3 linked regions of the Drosophila melanogaster genome follow. The protein of the gene in region 3 interacts with the protein of the main gene of each other region in a pairwise test. Each region holds a gene or a part of one and is shown on either strand. Other genes may lie near its edges. The genes, in order: Cluap1, RpL32 and CG17660.

Region 1 (6,270 bases), on a different chromosome or scaffold from region 3:
GTTGCTCACCACAGACTTCAGGTGGTTTATTTGCCGTTCTCCGGAGCTAGCGGTGATGACCCGATCGCTTGCGTCAGCGATTCGGTCGGCCACAGCCTGGCAAGACTTCTCATTTGGACCGGGGAGAAAATATGAGAATGTATCCGGACGCCGATTTATTGTTTCAGTTGCCAGTGGATTGATTGCCGGCATCAGATGGATGGCCAAGTACTGGGACGACAGTGGCTGCGAATCCAGCAGCTTGACCTTGTTCTCGACCTTTTTGCGCTTCGCCGGACCCTTAGCCAGGATATCGGTTTGGGTGCCAACCGAGCGGCAGTTGATGCGCTTAGTGAACTGCTCCACAGTCGCCACACTGCGTGATGCAATCCTCGAGATCCGTTTCCTTGGGGCCATAGCTGTGGTTATGACTATATGCAAACGTCTCTGAGAAAATAAGGTTAAAAGTAAGGTCACAACCTGATAGGGTTTGCTTTTAATATTTTTAATCTGTCAGTGGAAAAGAAAGGTGGAAACCCTACTAAGGCCAATCGGATAGGAACTTTTTCAATACATCACTCGTTAATTATATCAATATTTTATATATATTTTTCTTAACGCCTAACCTTTCAACGCAATGAAAACGGAAGTTTGAAAAAATATATGTACTCAACTTCCTATTGGCTGGGAAGCCCTCTTAACTGTCCAACGCTAAATTGTAGAGCTTCAATCAGCAGATACATACATACATACATATATGTATGTACAACACTTGCACCGATGAAAATCAAATAGAAAGCCTTTTTAAAAATTCGTTTTGGTATCCTTAAGTACATTTAAACATGTTGGTAAATGTAAACCTCTTATTTTACTTACATACTCTGTACATACCTGTGATGTTAAGATACAATATTATGATGTACGGATTCTTCACTTAATAAATAATAATTTAAAAAAAAACCTTACATACTCTTTTCCCATCACCTTTTTGCCGTGCATTGTATTCCAGTAGTTGCTGAGGAGATCTCCAGATTTATTTATTTGAACTCCTAATTTGAGGAATTTTATTTGGGTTGATCATTGATTAATAAGTCTATCATAAGCATGATCTGAAAATATATTTACATTCATATATTTTCTGATCATGCTTATGAACGAGAAAACTTGTAAATCTAACAAATTAAGCTGTCTGCCAATTTCACAGATAAATAACACCTGTTGAGAGCTCTTAGACTTCACACTATTACAATCAATCATTGATTTTTTTAGTTTCTTATACAAATAAATGTTATTGCACACACCATAGATACATATGTATGTGTAACGAGCGGGTTTTTGTCCAGAAATAATTTAACCATAACGAGATAGTCAATAACTAAACGGTATGATATCGATGCGAATAGAAGAGAAAAAAAGTTTGAAAATGCACGCAATAAGCAAAGCACGCGAAGTTTGTGAAAGCAATTGTAATTTCATAATGTTACTCAATTTTTGAGTACAAGGCCTCCAGCTACTGATCGGGTTTAAAATACATTTGTGTGCGCTATAAAATACAAAAAACAAAAACAGTTTGAGCACAACCCCTCAATTATTTAACTATCTGATACCCTAGTATCAGAATATGCGTAGCAAGACAAGGGAGAACGCTATGAATGAGTTCTCCGACTATCAGAAGATACACGTTAGTGGTTGGTTGGTTTTGGTATGTATTTATTCCTTATGCACCAAGACTATTACTTAGTAAAATCCGTATTCCCCATATTAAGCAAAACAAGAGTGTATGATATAATCGAGTTCCCCGACTATTAGATACTCATCGTTACTCAGCTAGTGGAAATGCGAATGGGAAATTTCATAATTTTTCTCGGATATCGATAGATATTGGGAAATAATATAATATTGGCAATTTAAAAGACTAATAATAATATGAAAAAGTATTAAAACATTTAGCAAACGTGTGGGCGTGACAGTTCTAGGCAGTTTGTGGGCGTTAGACTGGGCTTGGGAACATGGGCAACTGCACTGCGTCTACGTCTTTAGAATCTGTATGCTTCTTAACTTTCTTTTACCTTCTAGCTTTTATTGAAAAATAGATAGATTTCTGAGATCTCGACGTTCATACGGATGTCCGGCCGAACATGGATATATTGTATATTAGGAATATATATACAATATATGGTCGGAAACGCTTCCTTCTACCTGTTTCATAAGAATATTACTAAAAGGATATAACAAATTTAGTGCCGCTTTTAGGCATTTTGAATGTGCGCTTGTATGATTGAAACAGGGTTCATTCGACTTTTTAAATAAATAGAGTTTTATTTGGTTTTCATATCCATTAATTGTATAAAAACTAAAAAATTAGAAAATATAAATTCTTGATGAGGATCACAAGCGGAATCTTCCATCTGTCGATCAATATTAACTATAAGCTATATATGTACATATGTATATATGTATATACACTGTAAAAGCTAATGTGACACACACACAGCTCTAGTGTGTTTCAGAACGTCGTCTTGCCCACTATAACGCCCGCAAACTTCCCAAAATATCACACCATCGATAACCCAACAGAGTGTTGAATCTGTGCAATGATAAGTAAATTACAAGAACAATAAAGGATATATAGAAAAACTGAAATTTATGTGCCCAACAGGTCAATTTCAGTTGAGATAGTGGCGCCCTCTGTCGGGTATGCTTAATTTGTAAAAATCCCAATTATCGTATTTCAATAATTCGTTCTTAGCAACTCCTACATTTTTAATGGAATGGAAACCGCGCAACCGTTTCCCAGGTGAACCCCGTGCGACCGTCCACAGCAATCGAATGAATATTAGCCAAGGATAGCAGGGGGACACTGCGAGAAATTTCATATGGCAAGTGATAGTAACCTGTATTTGTTTAAGTATTAAAATAAAAAAACTAAAACCTATTTAAGTTAAAATTAATTTTATTTCGCTTTTATTTTCAGTTTCATGTATTGCTGTTTTTGAGAAATTTAGTACATATATCTTAATTCCTATTTTATGTAATATTTTCTTATTAAAATTCCGTTTAAAATTACCAACATTGTTGTTGACAATAATCTTAGTTTAATATTAATAATATATTTTAGAAATGGATCAATGTTTAGAGTTCGTTATCATATTTTCTCGCTATGCATTTTCCGTTACCTAGCAACCATCAATTTGGGATTCGGTGGCCCAAACAAAAGCTCCAACGACCACAACAAATGACGGTGTTGAAAATGCAATTGCCAGCGCAGCCGCAGCGATTGCAAGCAGCCAAAGAAAAACAGGTGAACTCGTTGGAAGCCAGGAATGTCCTTCAAGGATGTGCGAGGTGCGTACTGACTTCCTCCTCTTACTTCCTCCACCTAACACGACCAGACTGATACTCCACTTCCAGATCTGGGGGAACATCTTAAGCTGTTGGGGTTCCCGCGCGTGTTTCCCCTCCAATCCCTGGCCAATCAGCATGGCAGCCTGGCCAGTTTCCACATTGTTGCCGAGCTCCTTCAATGGCTAGCAGGACTAATAGAGCCAGGAGCCACTTTGCCCGGCGGCGTTGAATCGGAGGAGCAGCGGGTTCTTCTCGTCCGTTCGGCGACCGAGTTTTTTGTGACCAAGGCAGCCATTCGTATTAATCCCCGAAAACTGTATGCAGCCGCTGCGGTTACGGCGGCAGAGCTACAGAAGGTTACCCGACTCTTGACATCCCCAGGACAAAACGAAGCGGACAACGACGAAGAGGACCAAAGGGACCAGTACCGGAGCCTAAATCCCGTGGATATTGGCGATAAAATAGAGGAGTTGCGTAAGGCTCGAGAACTGGCCACAGACCTAACCCAGCGTGGCACAACCATATGCGAGATGCTTTCGAAGGAACTGCTCCACAAGGAATCGCTAATGTCCCAGGCCCAACGACCCCTGGAGCTGCTCAGCGTGGAGCGGACCCTGAAGAGCGCCATCCAAGCTAACCAAGTTCGCCTCCAATCGAGTAGAGCCCAACTGGAAGCAGCCAAGGTGGAGCTCAATGCTCTGGGATCAAAGCTGCAGCGCCGTCGGGCGGAGCTCGAGCGAACCCGCCAAAGACTGGAGGCACTGCATCGCATTCGACCAGCGCACATGGCCGAATTCGAGGACTGTGAGAAGGAGTTGCAGGAGCTATTCCAGCGCTACTTTCTCAGGCTGCATGTGCGCGATGCTCTAAAGTCCCAGCTGGACCTGCGTACTAAACGTGCCACACCTATCTCCTCACCCATTCTGCAAAAGCCCGCCGAGAACTCAATGCCCTTCATCCCGGAGGGACTCATCGAGGACGACGATGACGACGACGACGAGGACGATCTGGATGACGAGGATGAGGGCGATGATGGCGGCAAAGCACTTTCCCGTCTCGAAATGGTGGTCAATGGCAGGAGTGTCTTCGGCCTGGACTCAGAGATACCCGACATACGGGACGAGGACAAACTAATGCAACAAAACAACATGGTTTCCGCCCAGGGAAAACGTCCTGGTACCGCCACCTCCAGGATTAGACCCACAACGGGTAGAAGCAGGAAGGCAGTAGGAGGTAAGGAAGTTCTAATTTCACAAACTTATTTCCCTGCTCAAATAACGAAAATCCCAGGAAGAGGCACAGCCGGCCCGGATGGTGGTAATGATGCCAGGGCAGCCCGCGGCACCAGGAGAGGTGTTGCGACTGGAGGAGACGCCGATGGCACCCAGCTAAACGGCCGCAACGGACCCGGCAGCAGTATGCTCAACTCCCGGGACGAAGACAGCAGCTTCGGGAGCTCCGAAAGCGAACTGGATGTGGGTAAAATCATGGGCATGAGCGGAATGAGCGGAATGAGTGGCATGAGCGCTATCAGCGGGATAAGTGGGATGAGCAATATTGCCTTGGGAGCCGGCGATGATGATTGTAAGTCGTGTAGTTACGCCTTGAACTTATAACAAAACTTTACCTCATTCACCCCTAGTTGATCTGAACTCGATCGATGACATAAGCATTTCAAAGTTAACTGGCGAACTGCCACTTAGACCGAAGACCGCCAATAAAGCGGAGCATCACAGCGATGAGGATTTCTAGGGATAACTACAATATTTATATTTATTTGCTAATTTTATAAACTCAGCCAGAGGGCAGACAGGTTGTAAAAAGTAAATAAAATATTCCCATCAAGCAATTAAAAGATTTCTTTCCACGTCACAATCAAATACGTCACCGTCTCGCAAATAGACGGCCTTAGGGTTCCGGTTCCTGCAGTAACACGAATTGTCTGGCGATATGGTGACTAGTATGATGAGCAATCAAAGTGTAGTCAAAGATGGATTTCTGCATGTACATAGGTAAGTGGGACTGTGCAAGTCAAAGCATAGCCAGGATCCCTAACTAAGTACATCGTTATCTGTATGACTTTAGCTAATCTATTCCTCCAAGAAGCGAGATATAAATTAAATTTGCTTTTGTAGATACGTTATAATCAGTTAATTCAATGCTCGAATAATTGAAATAGTTTGCTTAATATATCTTTATTCGATTAATTTTAATGTGTCTTAAGAGCTATACGCATATGTAAGTACATTGATAGAGTAATGGATATAAAAGGGGTAATTTATCAGACAAAGCCCCACATAGATGGGATTTCGTTGTGGCTCCGTAAAAAAAATATATACAAAAGTCTGGGAAACTGGGAACTAGAGAGCGGATGCTTTTCCCGTCACATCACCACATCCCGGCAAACGATCTTCGTTTTGAAGGATGCCCTCTGACCGCCGTACAAGTCCGAGGAGGCAGACGACGAATAGTCGACGTGACTGCCCGCCTGTGACTGTTCTTGCCTGGCCAAAAAGCTATCAGCTATGGCTCGATCTAGACCCGTATACTGGAAATTGGGAGCACCGTCCAGGACATCCGCTTCCGATTTTCGGCGCTGCCGGCGATTGGCATCAGACTTTCCCGCCCGCCGCCGTCTTCGCTGCCCATTGATCTCCGCTGACTTTGTGCTCTTGTGAGTCCGGTATGTCCCGCTTAGGCTAGCCGGGTGGGCGTAGGTCACGGATCCGGGCCCAGGTCGCATGTAGGGAAGGGTCATTCCACGGTACTGCGCCGGCAGCGGGGGCACGGGAAGCAGAAGTCCAGCTCTGGCGCCCGGAGGCGGAGGTGGCAAGCGTGTGGGCGGTGGTGGTGCCATCTGAATATAGTTATTAGAACAAAAATTGTATTTAAAATTTCAGCAAAATTTATTTGTTAAAAATTCAATATTTCAAAGTAAACTTATCT
Region 2 (5,132 bases), on a different chromosome or scaffold from region 3:
AGGCGGCCGATCTGATCGAGGAGGTGCATCTCTCCGGCGGCTGCACGTTGATCCACTGCGTGGCCGGCGTCAGCCGCTCGGCCAGCCTGTGCCTGGCCTATCTAATGAAGCACGCCGGGATGAGCTTGCGCGAGGCCTACAAGCATGTGCAGGCCATACGTCCGCAGGTTCGCCCGAACTCCGGATTCTTCCAGCAGCTGCGACGGTACGAGCAACAGCTGCGGGGCAGCAGCTCGGTGGCCATGGTGTACTTCGCCTCGCTGGACAAGGAGATCCCCGACATACTGGAGCCCGAGTACAGGGCCATGGAGGACTTCTACCAGCGCTACCGCAGCTCCCTCAAGAGGCGATAGGCCCGTTGTGCCGCAATTAATCTTACTTGTGATACTCGTACCCTACCACTAGCCTTAGATTAGATGTTTAAGTTGTGTGTGCTTAATGATAATGAAATGAAATGCTGAAACTTACATAAGATGTACGCTTAAGCCTCGTTCGTAATTACAAATACACTTTTATTTTCGTTTAAGAACATTGAATCTACCGCGTTAATTAATCAGTTGTAGTATCTTCAATCAATCACAAAGTTATTGGCGAACACAAACAACACACTCGTATTATATCGCACATCATCTAGTATTATTTACACGTACACGAAAAGTAGCTAACTAAACCGTAACTCGAAGATTGGGTACCTTTAAATGCTCACGTTGTATTGTACTTGGCATCCGCGAGGCGAATTGAATAGATCTACAGGTATACAGATATACAGATATGAGTAGGAGGAGCAGGCGACCTCCGCTTGGGATGCGTGTATGTACATTAACACCTAGAATTCAGCATCTGTGCACAAGCGACTTAGGCGAGACTTAAATCGAACGAAATAATTGGCTAGCTAAAGGCAGAAGTAACCGTTTGTGTACAATCAGCTAAGTTAACTCTAGTTCTACTCAGAGGCCAGTGGCAACGGCGGCTGCTGCTGCATTAGTTTCTTTAGGTTTTCGTACGCCGTATTCATGATGCCCCAGCTGATGAAGGAGCGGCCTGTGTTGAAGGGGCATCCGCGATAGAAGTTGCCAATGCGGCGATCGCGCTCTACGTAAATTCGCTTGCACGCCTGCCAGCTGCCCTCAGACCTCTGGCCCATCTCACTCTGCAGCGACACCTTGATCACATTGAGCGGGTAGAATATTGTGCTTATGCTCGCACCGATCACGGCGCCCGCTATGAACTCCTGCACTGTTCGAGTGGATACGGATTTCTGTGGATGGGCAACGGATTGGTTAGTATCTTAGTAGGTTCGTATGTGTGATAGGGTCAACACTCACTCTCTTAGGCAGCCGGACGCTGGCCTCTTCTCGCAGTACGAAAAATAACGCGTTGGACAGGCCGTTGCGCCAAAATACTGGTTCGAGTCCCCTGTAGAGCTCCCGGTAGCCGTGGTGGGAAACCACATACCTGTGGAATGATTAAAAGCCATAAGAAGATCCCATTAGCAAACTTAAAGATCCGTCAGCTCACCTGAATGCGTTTTGTGTGTTGGAGAAGTGCTGGTGGAACTTGGAGTCCGCGAGGAGGGTTTGCACCCGTTCGAAGGGCAGGAGGATGGACTCGGCGCTGCCGGCCACCACGGCCGCTAGCACCTTGGCCCCGTAGTCGTTCAGGCGGTAGTCCTCCACGAGGTACCTCCTCGTCCCGTCGAACACACCGAACATGATGGACAGGGATATGGTCTTCTGGGCGAGCGGCGGCAGCATGCCGCGGTACAGGAAGCCCAGTCCCTCGTGACGCAGCTGTGCAAAGGCCGAGGTGATGGGCACGCCGTGCAGCATCTGACGGAAGATCATCTTGTAGATGGGATAGGTGACCGCGATGTTGACGAAGGCTGCTCCGCAGCCGCAGGCGAACTCCTCCCACTGAAAGGAGCCGAAGAAGCGCTTCGAGAAGACGCTGCCATGCAGCAGTTTCCCCGCCTCCCCGTCTCCATGTGGGCTGTGTGCTCTTCCGGATGGAAACCTTTTAGGGGGCGGTGGGTCGGTGGTTTTCGCGACGTTTGGTGCTCCATCGTCTTTCATCTTGCTGCTGTCCTGTGTTTATTTCGGGCGTGTGGAGAAGTGCGCATTTGTCACCGCGTTACCATTGTAACTATTCAAACACGGGGATTGCGCTGGTTTGGTTTGTTTTGGTTTCGATTCGCATCGGTTTTAATTATATAATAATGAAGAAGAACCACGGTTTGACGGCCACGGCCAGTGTGACCGTCGCTGGACCTCTGCTGCATACCAAAGGACTCTGTTATCCAAATTGTTCACAAGCCAACCAAAATTAATTGTCGAACTTAAATTAGCAGCGGCGGCTTTGAGTTTTGTACTCGCCCTTTTCGGTAATTTACAAACTTAATATAACACCGTATAATTAAAATATTCTTAGCAGTGCGTTTAACAGCACTGTCACTTTATTTTGACCGAATCACCCTGTGTACTTGTTCCACTGACGCAAAGACCACCCTATGGATCAGAAACTTATCATGTGCTGGTATGCATTGGGTGCTCTAAATCCACGACTTGGATGCTTTTGTATTAGCCTCCTAAACCTCGGGAACACCTGCTCCTTGATCGCTTCTGTCAGCTTTTTACTTTTTCATTCCCAGCTTTCTTATCGTTTTTTATCAGATGACGGTGCTGCAAAACATCTATTGAACAGCTGTTGCATCCAGTGTGTAAATGAAATATGTTCACACTGCACAGTGGGTCAAGAGGCAAAGCATATTTAATTATATAACAAACTCCACCAAGCTGAAAATAGTTCCATATTTTGTTGCACATAGTTGCAATCGTCGCAGTTGCTCGGATAGTGATTAAACCTGCAACACCTTATTTGACGCGCCCAAGTTTAAATTCATTACACGATGATCCGCAATATATCGCTTGGCATCGCCATGAACGAAACTATCGGCGAATCATCGACGCACGACGTATCGATGTTTTTTCACACCACCAGCTTTTTCTTTTCGCTTCTGGTTTCCGGCAAGGTATGTGCGTGATTTTGGGCCCACGTGTATTTCCATTAATTTTAAGCCGTAATTGTCGTTTTTGGCGGTTTCGAGTTGAACTGCGTTAGTCCGTGCGCTGTTCGCAAGTGTGCGGCTCGTATTTCGACCGAATTCGGATCGATTCCTGTGAGAGTTCGCCAAATGGCTTCTGTTTGTGATGGGAATTCGTGGGGCGACACACCGGAAACTCAATGGATACTGCCCAAGAAGCTAGCCCAACCTGGTTGAATTATGCATTAGTGGGACACCTTGTGTGTTATTAGCTTGATAAGTGATATTTCCAGTGGGTCAGTGCACTAATGGCTACTTTTGTTGTGTCCTTCCAGCTTCAAGATGACCATCCGCCCAGCATACAGGCCCAAGATCGTGAAGAAGCGCACCAAGCACTTCATCCGCCACCAGTCGGATCGATATGCTAAGCTGTCGGTGAGTGCCAACGAGGATTGTGCCAAATTGTACCCGTGTTTAATCAACATGTCTCCTTGCAGCACAAATGGCGCAAGCCCAAGGGTATCGACAACAGAGTGCGTCGCCGCTTCAAGGGACAGTATCTGATGCCCAACATCGGTTACGGATCGAACAAGCGCACCCGCCACATGCTGCCCACCGGATTCAAGAAGTTCCTGGTGCACAACGTGCGCGAGCTGGAGGTCCTGCTCATGCAGAACCGCGTTTACTGCGGCGAGATCGCCCACGGCGTCTCCTCCAAGAAGCGCAAGGAGATTGTCGAGCGCGCCAAGCAGCTGTCGGTCCGCCTCACCAACCCCAACGGTCGCCTGCGTTCTCAAGAGAACGAGTAAGCTTAAGATTCTTGAGAGTTCTTGTAACGTGGTCGGAATACACATTTGTAAACGTTAATATACCGGACTTTTAGTTAAAAAATGATGTGCGAGTGCCGAGTTCAATTGTCATTTCTGAGATTGGGATAGCAGCACCATTGATAACATGTGCATTATCTGGATGGATATCAGTTAATCCAGACCATTGCGGTCTTTCTTTCTGATAGCAACTGCCTCGAGATATTAGACCAATATAAATTCCTTGACGTGCCAAAACTAGACAGCATCAATCCTTATCAGGGAATTTTGTTATATATTTTACATTTTTCCCCCTTAGTATTGAAAGAGGTTGTTTATATGAAATCATATATATATTCGCAATTATTTTTACAGAACAGTGTACAATTATTATCGGAAATGCTTCTGTCTAAATGAAACGCAGTAATTGAAATACCAGTAAATTATATTTTGTAGGAATCTACAATAATCAAGTACAAAGAGGAGGAAATACACTAGGGAAAGATAAACAATTACTTATTGTAGGCAATGTAGCTTATTTCAAGACCACGTCGTGATCAAATTGCAAGTGGTGTTCGAGCTCCTTCTTGTTCTCGAAGTTGGTATTGCAAATGAGACAGAAGCCGCTGTTCTCATCGTTGTCGGACATGATGACGGTGACGGCCGCCTCCGATTCGTCGACGTCCACATGCAGCTCCTCCACCACCTGCTGCTCGTCGGCGGGCGCCTCCTCGCGAACCCCGTAAACGACGTCGCCCTCGTGGGTCTTCATGTGCATCTTGAGGGTGTAGCGCTCGGTGAAGGACTTGGGGCAGACGGAGCAGTAGTGTCTTGGGCGGTTCTCCTTGTGAATGAGCGTGTGATGGTTGAAGGTCTTGCGCGACTTGAACGACACATTGCAGATGCTGCATATGATGGGGTTCTCCTCAGCCTCGTGGCGCAGCCGGTGGTTGTAGAGTAGGTTGTCCTGGGAGAACCTCAGGCCGCACTTCTCGCACTGGTACTTCTTCTTGTCCCAGTGCATGCGCATGTGGCGCAGGGTGTTCACCGGGCGCGAGAAGCTCTTGGGGCAGTAGCGGCATTGCTTTTCCGTCTTGCCCTCGTGCAGATTCATGTGCAGCTCCAAGTACTCCTCGTCGCGCCGGATCACCCCGCAGATGGGGCAGATGTGGTTGGGCTGCTTGGAGTGCTCCTCGCTGATGTGCTTCTGCAGTTGATACCAGGAGTTGTACACCTTGCCGCAGGTAGTGCACTCCTGCTTGACGCGCTTCTTCGTCGGCCTGTCC
Region 3 (7,672 bases):
TCAGGGAGCAGGAACTGCCCCCGAAACCGGACTAGGCGCAAGTCAGCCACAAAGCCAGCAGGTCCTGAAGAACTATGTGCCACCGCTGCCCTCGTTCAAGTCGAAGGTATTCAACGCTGAGATGATCAAGATCAACATACCGAAACCGGAACTGAGGCCGCCCTTGCCGAAGGTTTCAATAGCGCCGCCAACATCTTCGCTGGCGAGTCTAACCCTGAAGTCCAACAGTAGTCTGCAGCAGGCGCCCGCAAAGAGTCTGCATCCAAATGGTTCGTGTGAAGAAAATTCCCTTCATAACTTAAATAATTTATCCATTATTTCAGGCAATTTGTGGTCCCAGGACGTGCCGGATCAGACGGTGGGTCTGCCTATGGCTAGTAGTCCACTTCCTCGTCTTCCGCCTTCAAACATTCCAGATCAGAGCGCCCAGCTGGGTCAGTTCAGCACGATGCCAGCTTCGCCTCCGCCGACAGGGTCCTATCAGCCCAAGTTTTATCAACATCCGCTTGTCTCTGGCAATATTCCCGCCATGCTGCCATCGCTCACCAGCGAGGACTACCAGAAGCGCCTGCTGCAAAAGAAACCCACCGCATCCATATTGTCCAACCCGGCGAATCCAGCACCCACCAACGGAGAAGCACCCGCCACGCCCGCAAAGTCACAAACGGCCGAAAAGAACAAAGTCAAGTTCTCGGATACAATTCAAGTGGCGGTGGTGCCAGTGAGTTAACAAATCAATCGATGATGTGACAGTTTACTAATGCTCTTACTCGAACAGGAAATTCCTCGCAAGGAAAAGCCAATGCCACCCAAGAGAAATGGTTACTCCAGGCCCGCTGCGCGACATCTGACAAATCCTAAAAAGGAGCTCGCAGACAGCCTGCCGCTCTGTCATCCGAACGACGAGTATCTAAAGGATTTCAACCCCATTACGACCAGTGGGTATTTGTTGAGTTCACCAATAACCTTGCCCCATTGACCGTGTCATTTCTTCGCAGATGTGACTAAGCCGCCCATCCGACGACGCGAGGAAGAACCCAAGAGCAGCAGCAAGGGCGGCAACTCCTCCTCCTCCTCGTCGTCCATCAAGGTGGTCCACTTCGGCGTGGTCTAATAATTCATAGTGCAATTCCCAGGCGTACACCACACAACGGTTAAGCGCTGCGTCTTCCAATCGTTTGTAACTATTGTAGTAGGCTGCTCCTTCTACCCTCTTCCTTTACTCTTAGTCATACATACCTAATTATACATAGCCAATCTAGTCATAAGCTTATACACTCATACACCCATCCTTAACATACAAATATTATCGAGAAACTTATCGACTAATCGACTCGCCACTCTGCAGAGAGCGCGGCAGTCAGTCGCTGTTGAACCAAGCTAAAGGACAGATCAAAAATAAAAGAGACACGTGAAATTGTATTAGAATATTAACTTCTGTAAACGGCGGCTAAACTATTGCCGTCCCAGTTAGTGCAAAGCTTTAAATAGGAAAGTTTTACTCATAGGTTCTCTATACTCTTTACACAGGTTACTCATTAAAGCTAAGCATTAAATGTTTGCCAAATCGGAGGCGCCGCCTACTTCTTCCTGGTGGTGGTGGGTCCGCCCATGCGCTCCAGCTCGTCCTTCAGGTCGAGCAGCTCCTTGTCGGGCACGTAGCGCCGCTCCTCGCAGTCGTCGGTGTACTCCTGCACCTGCAAGCTCACACCCTCGGGCAGCGCCGCCTGGGCCAGGCGCAAGAACTGCGGATAGACTGGCGCATCCACATTGTTCAGCTGCAGGTTGCGCTCGTAGGTGGTCAGCTTGTACTCCGATTCGATGACCGTGGAGTTGGGCCGCAGTCGCTGCACCGTGGTCTTTTGCGGAGGGAGGGCGTAGCAGTCGGAGACGTCCAAGTCCAGGTACTCGGCCAATCCGTGCAGAAACCTCTGGTAGCTCTCCAGCTGCGGGTAGTCGTAGCCCTTGATCTGCACATTCAGGCTCTCGTACTGCGGGAATTTCGGCTTGAGGGACTGCAAACGGAGAACAATGGTTACTGACCACCAAAATAATTGCTCATCTAGTCTGATCTGATTGAAATCTGTCTACAAGATTATGCTACTATGCTCAAAGCAAGTAATATTTAAAAAGGGGTTAAGATCCTTCCTTCTCAGTTGAGGACCCACCTCCAGGTAATCCGGTTCGTAAACACTTCCACTGGTGCTCCTCACGGCTGTTGTGGTTGCTTTGGGCACCTGCAGCGCCAGCCGCACACTTGGCAGTATCTAGCACAGTGGGAAAATGAAATTGTAATAGATAATTTAATAGATATTTTCAGCTATTTACCCTGCGTAGCATTTTGCTGTTTTTAATTCTCCAATTCAGGTTATATCACCAGCTGATGGCGTGCAGCCACACTGTTGCCGGCTCCATGGTCACACTGGCTCAAGCGTCAGATAGGCTCGGCAAGTGTTATCGAAGAACGATAGGCCCGATAAGTTCGGACGAGTAGAAGAGGAAATAATATTTGTATTTACTTAAGCCCATTGTACGCACACACAACTCGAAATGCAGGGATCGGCCACGCTGTTGGTGGTTGCGTTGGCCTTGCTACTTGGCCCGGCGAGCACGGCCGGGAAATCGGATCCGGGCATGGTGGACGTGCTGGTGACCACGGTAAATATGTGCACCACCACCACAGCCCCAAACAAATAGGGGAATTAGAATTAATCCTTTTCCGGCTACGTAACAACTGGTTTGTCCTCTTCTCTCCCACACAGGACTTGCCCAGCATCCGGGAGCAGCGTCCGCTGCTGGCCAACACAAAAATCTACGCGCAGAGTAAGTACAGGCGGCGGAAAACGCGTGACGAATGCCTCCGACTTACCCCTTTCTTCCACACCTGTTTCAATGGTTCCAGTTAAGGGCTGCACTTCCAATGTGGAATCGAACCTGACCATTACGTTCCGGCTGACGGAGCACCCCTGCATCTTTGATGACCGCACGGTGAGTACAACGTTTCCATATGGCTCAGTGACCATTTAATCCCATCAATCTTGTATCCCCAAACAGCTGCAGGCCATCGCCCAGAATGCTACCCTGCAGAAGAACGCCACCATCAATAACGTCATCACCGAGATCACCAGGACATATCCCTGCAACGGACTCATCGTCCTGGCGATAAACAAGGACAAGGTGGTCGAAGGATCAGCGATCCCAACACCGGAGCCAAAGCATCCAATGCTGGAGCACAAGCACCCACTTTCGGTAAATGCGACATATATCAACGATAAGTAGAAGCACAGCAATTACCACGGGCCAGCAAAGCATTTTCGGCTTTTTCCTTATCAGCTTATCGTTTCTCTTTAAACAGGGTATTCCCTAGATAGGTGGGGCATACTGTTTATAGAGCCAGCTTGAAACATTTACAGGCATTTGTGCCATTTTATTGAATGGAATGGTCTACTCGGTATCAGGTTTTCTTATATATGTATAATGAAGCAGGAACACTGAGATAACGCAGTAATTGAACCACTTCCGTTTCCTTATAGCCCACAACGAACCCAATTGCGAGCGTCAAGGAGGATGGCATTTACGAAATCGAAGTTAACATCGCGGCGGGCCCATCCGCGCAGTTCAGTGCCGTGGTGCACATAGAGTTCCTGGGCCCACACGGCTTCATCTCGGCCATAGATTGGCCATTCCTGCCGGTAGGGGTCGAGTGTGTTTCTAAATGACTTTGTTTATACATAATCATGTATATGTTTATTTTCCCACAGTTCTATCTGATCATGTGCATTGTTTACGTGATATTTGGAATTATTTGGCTGTTTGTTTCTTTCGCGCAATGGCGGGATCTTTTGAGAATTCAATTCTGGATCGGTGGCGTCATACTGCTGGGAATGCTAGAGAAGGCCTTCTTCTACGCCGAATACCAAACGCTGACGAACAAGGGTGTTGCAGTTCAGCACGCCGAACTGGTGGCCGAGTTTGTGTCCTGTGCGAAGCGCACGCTGGCCAGGATGCTGGTCATCATCATGAGTCTCGGCTTTGGCATTGTCAAGTGAGTGAGCGCTTTTGATTAGAAACAGAAGGGCCATTAAACTGCCGCCTGCAGCTGTTTATAGTTATAGTTATAGCTTACTCTAAAGCAGTTGCTGCTATTGACCGAACCACTTAAGCGTTAATTTACTCAATCTATTCCAGACCCCGTTTGGGACCCATGCTGCATCGCGTGGTGGGCGTGGGAACCCTCTACTTTGTGCTGGCCTGCGTGGAGAGCTACTTGCGTATCACCAATGTGAAGACCGATCGCAGCGAGCTGCTGGTGGCGAGCATTCCACTGGCGGTGCTGGACACAGGAATATGCTGGTGGATATTCACCTCGCTCGTGCAGACAACTCGCACTCTCCGACTGAGGAGGTGACTAATGCCAATGATGAAATCTCAACACATGCGCTAACAATGTGTACCTTTTCCAGGAATATGGTCAAGCTCTCACTGTACAGGCACTTCACCAACACGCTGATCTTCGCTGTTATCGCTTCCGTCATATTCATGCTGTTTGCTTTGCGTTTGCGTAGGGTCGAGAATTGCACGCCTGTAAGTTGTTGATTAGCATGAATGGAGCTGCGAACAGGGGTTTGCTGATTTCGTGTTTTTTTTTTAGGGCTGGCGCGACATTTGGGTGGATACTGGCTTTTGGCACATTTTGTTTTCGGTTCTGCTGCTGGTGATTATGATTCTATGGCGACCGACGAATAACAACCAGCGCTATGCCTTCACTCCGCTGCTGGATAACCCGGAAGACGAAGACGATGAGGGTAAGTTAGAACCCGAACTTCTGCTGCAAACAAGGACTAATTGACTCCTTAACTTTTGGCAGACGAGGAGGATCAGTTCGTCGCGGATGCCTACGGCGTGAAAATGCGCGGCCAGAATGGAACGCCGAAAACGTCGACGACTTCACGAAATGCCACGACCACCGAGGAAGACGACCTGCGCTGGGTGGAGGAGAACATACCGTCTTCGATGGCGGACTCGGCGTTGCCCATCCTGGACTCCGATGAGGAAATCATCAACACCAAGTTCGAGGTGTCGAAAATGCAATAAGCTGTGACTTTCGCTGGACCGAAGAGACTTTTTACGCATATTTTTGCACATTTTCACGCAACCGTGTCTCCCGCCAGCAGCTATGTATTTTTTAGTTCTATCCGCCATTGAGGAGGAAAACCCCTTATTGCTGCGCTGCGCTGACACTGATCTTCCAATTTCGAGAACCGTCTGTCCGGCCACGCCTTCTGAGCCCGTGTAAAATAATGTATGTAATCGTAGTTCCTTCTACGCGCACGTCCTCCCCCCCTCTAAATAAACCTAACTTATTCATAATACCTAGCCTAAGTTGTAGATACCTATGCGACGATCCGAGAACTTAATTTAAAAACTTCGACTTGAATTCTTGTGCTGCTGCCCCTAACTACACTCGCAAAGGTGTATGAGTGAGCTGTTGGTGGTCGCCTCATTGTATGTATATAGCTGGTAACACAAGACGAAACGATCTATATAAATCTACGAGTATATTCTGTAATAACTATGATAAAACGCGACTATGCAAAGATTAAAAGTAATTGTCTAAGTAAGCACACAATCGTTTGCGTCACACACCTCAAGGTATTTAATTACATATTTTTAATCAAACGGTCTCCGATTTTCATAAATAAATGCAAACGTATCTTAAAGGTAGCCATGAACCAAACTCGCCATGTTTTTCTTTAGTCCTTATCTAACTAGCTTATGATATGATATGTCGTGACTAAAAGTAGAATATGGTATACATCGATGGAGTGATGTGTAGTAGTTTATTTTATATATCTTATCTTTTGCGATAATATGATGTTTTCCCCCAATGAAACCACTTCTAGTTGTAATTCAATATTTATTAGTTTCTTTGTATAAAATTTCTCTTGCCTTCCAAATTTCAGTTAAAAAATATTAAGTAAAGAAGAAAGGTAATGTGCATTTCCTCAGATAATACAATCACAAAGCGATTTCAGTTAATATTTTGCTTCGAGCGCCTTACTGTTAGATTACACACAAACACAAAGTTACAATTAATAAACACAATATTTATTCGCGGAAGGATTAAGAACGAAACGCAAGTGCCTCGACTTCGGTGCAAATATGCATTATTACAAATAAGATACAAATACTTATGGATACTGTCTTGAGGGCGGCGAAGTTGGCATTTTCGGCTGAACTCTGGATGAAGCGCGACTCCAAACGGCAACAATGTGGGAGGACAGTTGAAACGGGCGGGCAAAATTTACATTAATGTGCTTCTCGTGGTGTAACAATTTTCTCATGTAACAAATTTACTGCCTAGAAATGCGTATTTAATATTTTTTAGTCAGCTCTTTAGTCCAGTCCAAGCGGAGTCCTCCACGGAGCTGCTCAACACAATTGGGCGAGTAACAGCGAATTGGGTGGGTGCAGCCGAAATATTATGAAAATTATTTATATTTATGACAATATTTAGTGGTGACAACAGTGCCTTGCAATTCGAATATTGCTGCGCTCTTCTTGGGAGCAGCCAGCTTGTGGGACGCCCCTGGACTGGATTGGTTTATGTGGAAATTCAGCCTTCAGCCGCTCAGTACTCAGTTCGATTCGGGCTTGACATTGCGTCGCAGGATTGCCGCTGCGAGGTCCTGCTTCATGGCCGCCTGCTGGCGCTGATCGGCCAGTGATTGTGTGCTCCTTAGTCCGTTCACGATGTCCTTGGTCTTGCCAAAGTAGATCTCGTTCAGGGTGTTCCTGATCTTGTTCTCCATCTCCTCGACCATCTTGCCAATGTTGGCGATGTGCGGCGACGACTCGCTGACGTTGGCGTCCTGCTCCTGCTGCCGGGTGAGGGATCCGCCCAGATTCATGGTTCCCGAACCCTGTTTGTTGGTCTGCAGCCAGAGCATTGCCGTGGAGGTGAGCTTGTAGTGGGCCGTCCTGCCGGTGGTCTTCTCCTGTACCTCGACCACATGGATGGAGTCCCAGCAGCCGCGGATCATCTTGCTGCCATCTCCCGCCTTTTTGATCAGTATAACGGCGGCAAACCCGTGATCCAGATCCCATAGGTAGACGGAGGAGACGCCTCCCTCGTAGTACATCTCCCTGTACTGATCGAAGGCATAGTTCGCCTCGATTTCCAGTTTGCGCAGTCGTTCCGAGGGCATTTGGCCATCCTCCAGCGGCGGATAGTAGGAGTTCGACCAGGGCGATCTGTAGGAGTCCCCATCCCGGTTATAGTCGCACAGCAGATAGTCCTTGCCGTGCTCCTTGTCCTTGGCGATCTTCAGCGGCTGGTCCACGGAGGAGAGCAAGTCCTCGCAGAGATCCGGTGCCAAGTCTATCAGATCAATAAGGTTCTTCTCGATCTGCTGGGGCGGCAGCCTCCGCATCAGATCCAAAGCACAGTCCATCTGCATTTCCGACTGAGAAGAGAGGAGAAGAGACACCAGTGAAATTGAATTTGAGTCACTGCACCACCGCCGATAAGAGAGCCCAAAAAATCCCTCCGCTTTCCACTGCCACCCGGCAAACCAGGGATTACCATATATGGGCATTATTTGAGGCCACAGGCCGCCGCCCCTCTGGAGGTTTTCTCGGTGGATTAGGTGATTGCCAAGAATATTTGGCT

Evidence for each region.
Region 1: the proteins of CG17660 (region 3) and Cluap1 interact in a two-hybrid assay, tested with the Drosophila melanogaster proteins (one large-scale study listed by BioGRID).
Region 2: the proteins of CG17660 (region 3) and RpL32 interact in a two-hybrid assay, tested with the Drosophila melanogaster proteins (one large-scale study listed by BioGRID).

Annotation. Positions count from the first base shown.
Region 1 is NC_004354.4:22,541,256-22,547,525, reverse strand, and holds Cluap1 (clusterin associated protein 1), read left to right. Parts: upstream 1-3,203; 5' UTR 3,204-3,302; coding exon 3,303-3,324; intron 3,325-3,390; coding exon 3,391-4,557; intron 4,558-4,614; coding exon 4,615-4,908; intron 4,909-4,966; coding exon 4,967-5,076; 3' UTR 5,077-5,140; downstream 5,141-6,270. Other genes in the region: CG17601 (uncharacterized protein), read right to left, coding at 1-396; CG17600 (uncharacterized protein), read right to left, coding at 5,708-6,181.
Region 2 is NT_033777.3:30,044,030-30,049,161, reverse strand, and holds RpL32 (ribosomal protein L32), read left to right. Parts: upstream 1-3,021; 5' UTR 3,022-3,240; coding exon 3,241-3,272; exon of another isoform or gene 3,273-3,300; intron 3,301-3,375; coding exon 3,376-3,475; intron 3,476-3,537; coding exon 3,538-3,849; 3' UTR 3,850-3,933; downstream 3,934-5,132. Other genes in the region: CG15528 (uncharacterized protein), read left to right, coding at 1-353; CG7943 (uncharacterized protein), read right to left, coding at 944-1,258, 1,326-1,455, 1,519-2,072; Sry-delta (serendipity delta), read right to left, coding at 4,382-5,132.
Region 3 is NT_033779.5:1,705,194-1,712,865, reverse strand, and holds CG17660 (uncharacterized protein), read left to right. Parts: upstream 1-2,444; 5' UTR 2,445-2,550; coding exon 2,551-2,658; intron 2,659-2,762; coding exon 2,763-2,823; intron 2,824-2,902; coding exon 2,903-2,988; intron 2,989-3,054; coding exon 3,055-3,249; intron 3,250-3,533; coding exon 3,534-3,692; exon of another isoform or gene 3,693-3,761; coding exon 3,762-4,045; exon of another isoform or gene 4,046-4,056; intron 4,057-4,126; exon of another isoform or gene 4,127-4,188; coding exon 4,189-4,404; exon of another isoform or gene 4,405-4,414; intron 4,415-4,463; coding exon 4,464-4,584; intron 4,585-4,651; coding exon 4,652-4,805; intron 4,806-4,867; coding exon 4,868-5,094; 3' UTR 5,095-5,734; downstream 5,735-7,672. Other genes in the region: frtz (fritz), read left to right, coding at 1-269, 324-721, 779-938, 999-1,114; mRpL48 (mitochondrial ribosomal protein L48), read right to left, coding at 1,581-2,015, 2,169-2,267, 2,329-2,340; cpb (capping protein beta), read right to left, coding at 6,639-7,466, 7,586-7,588.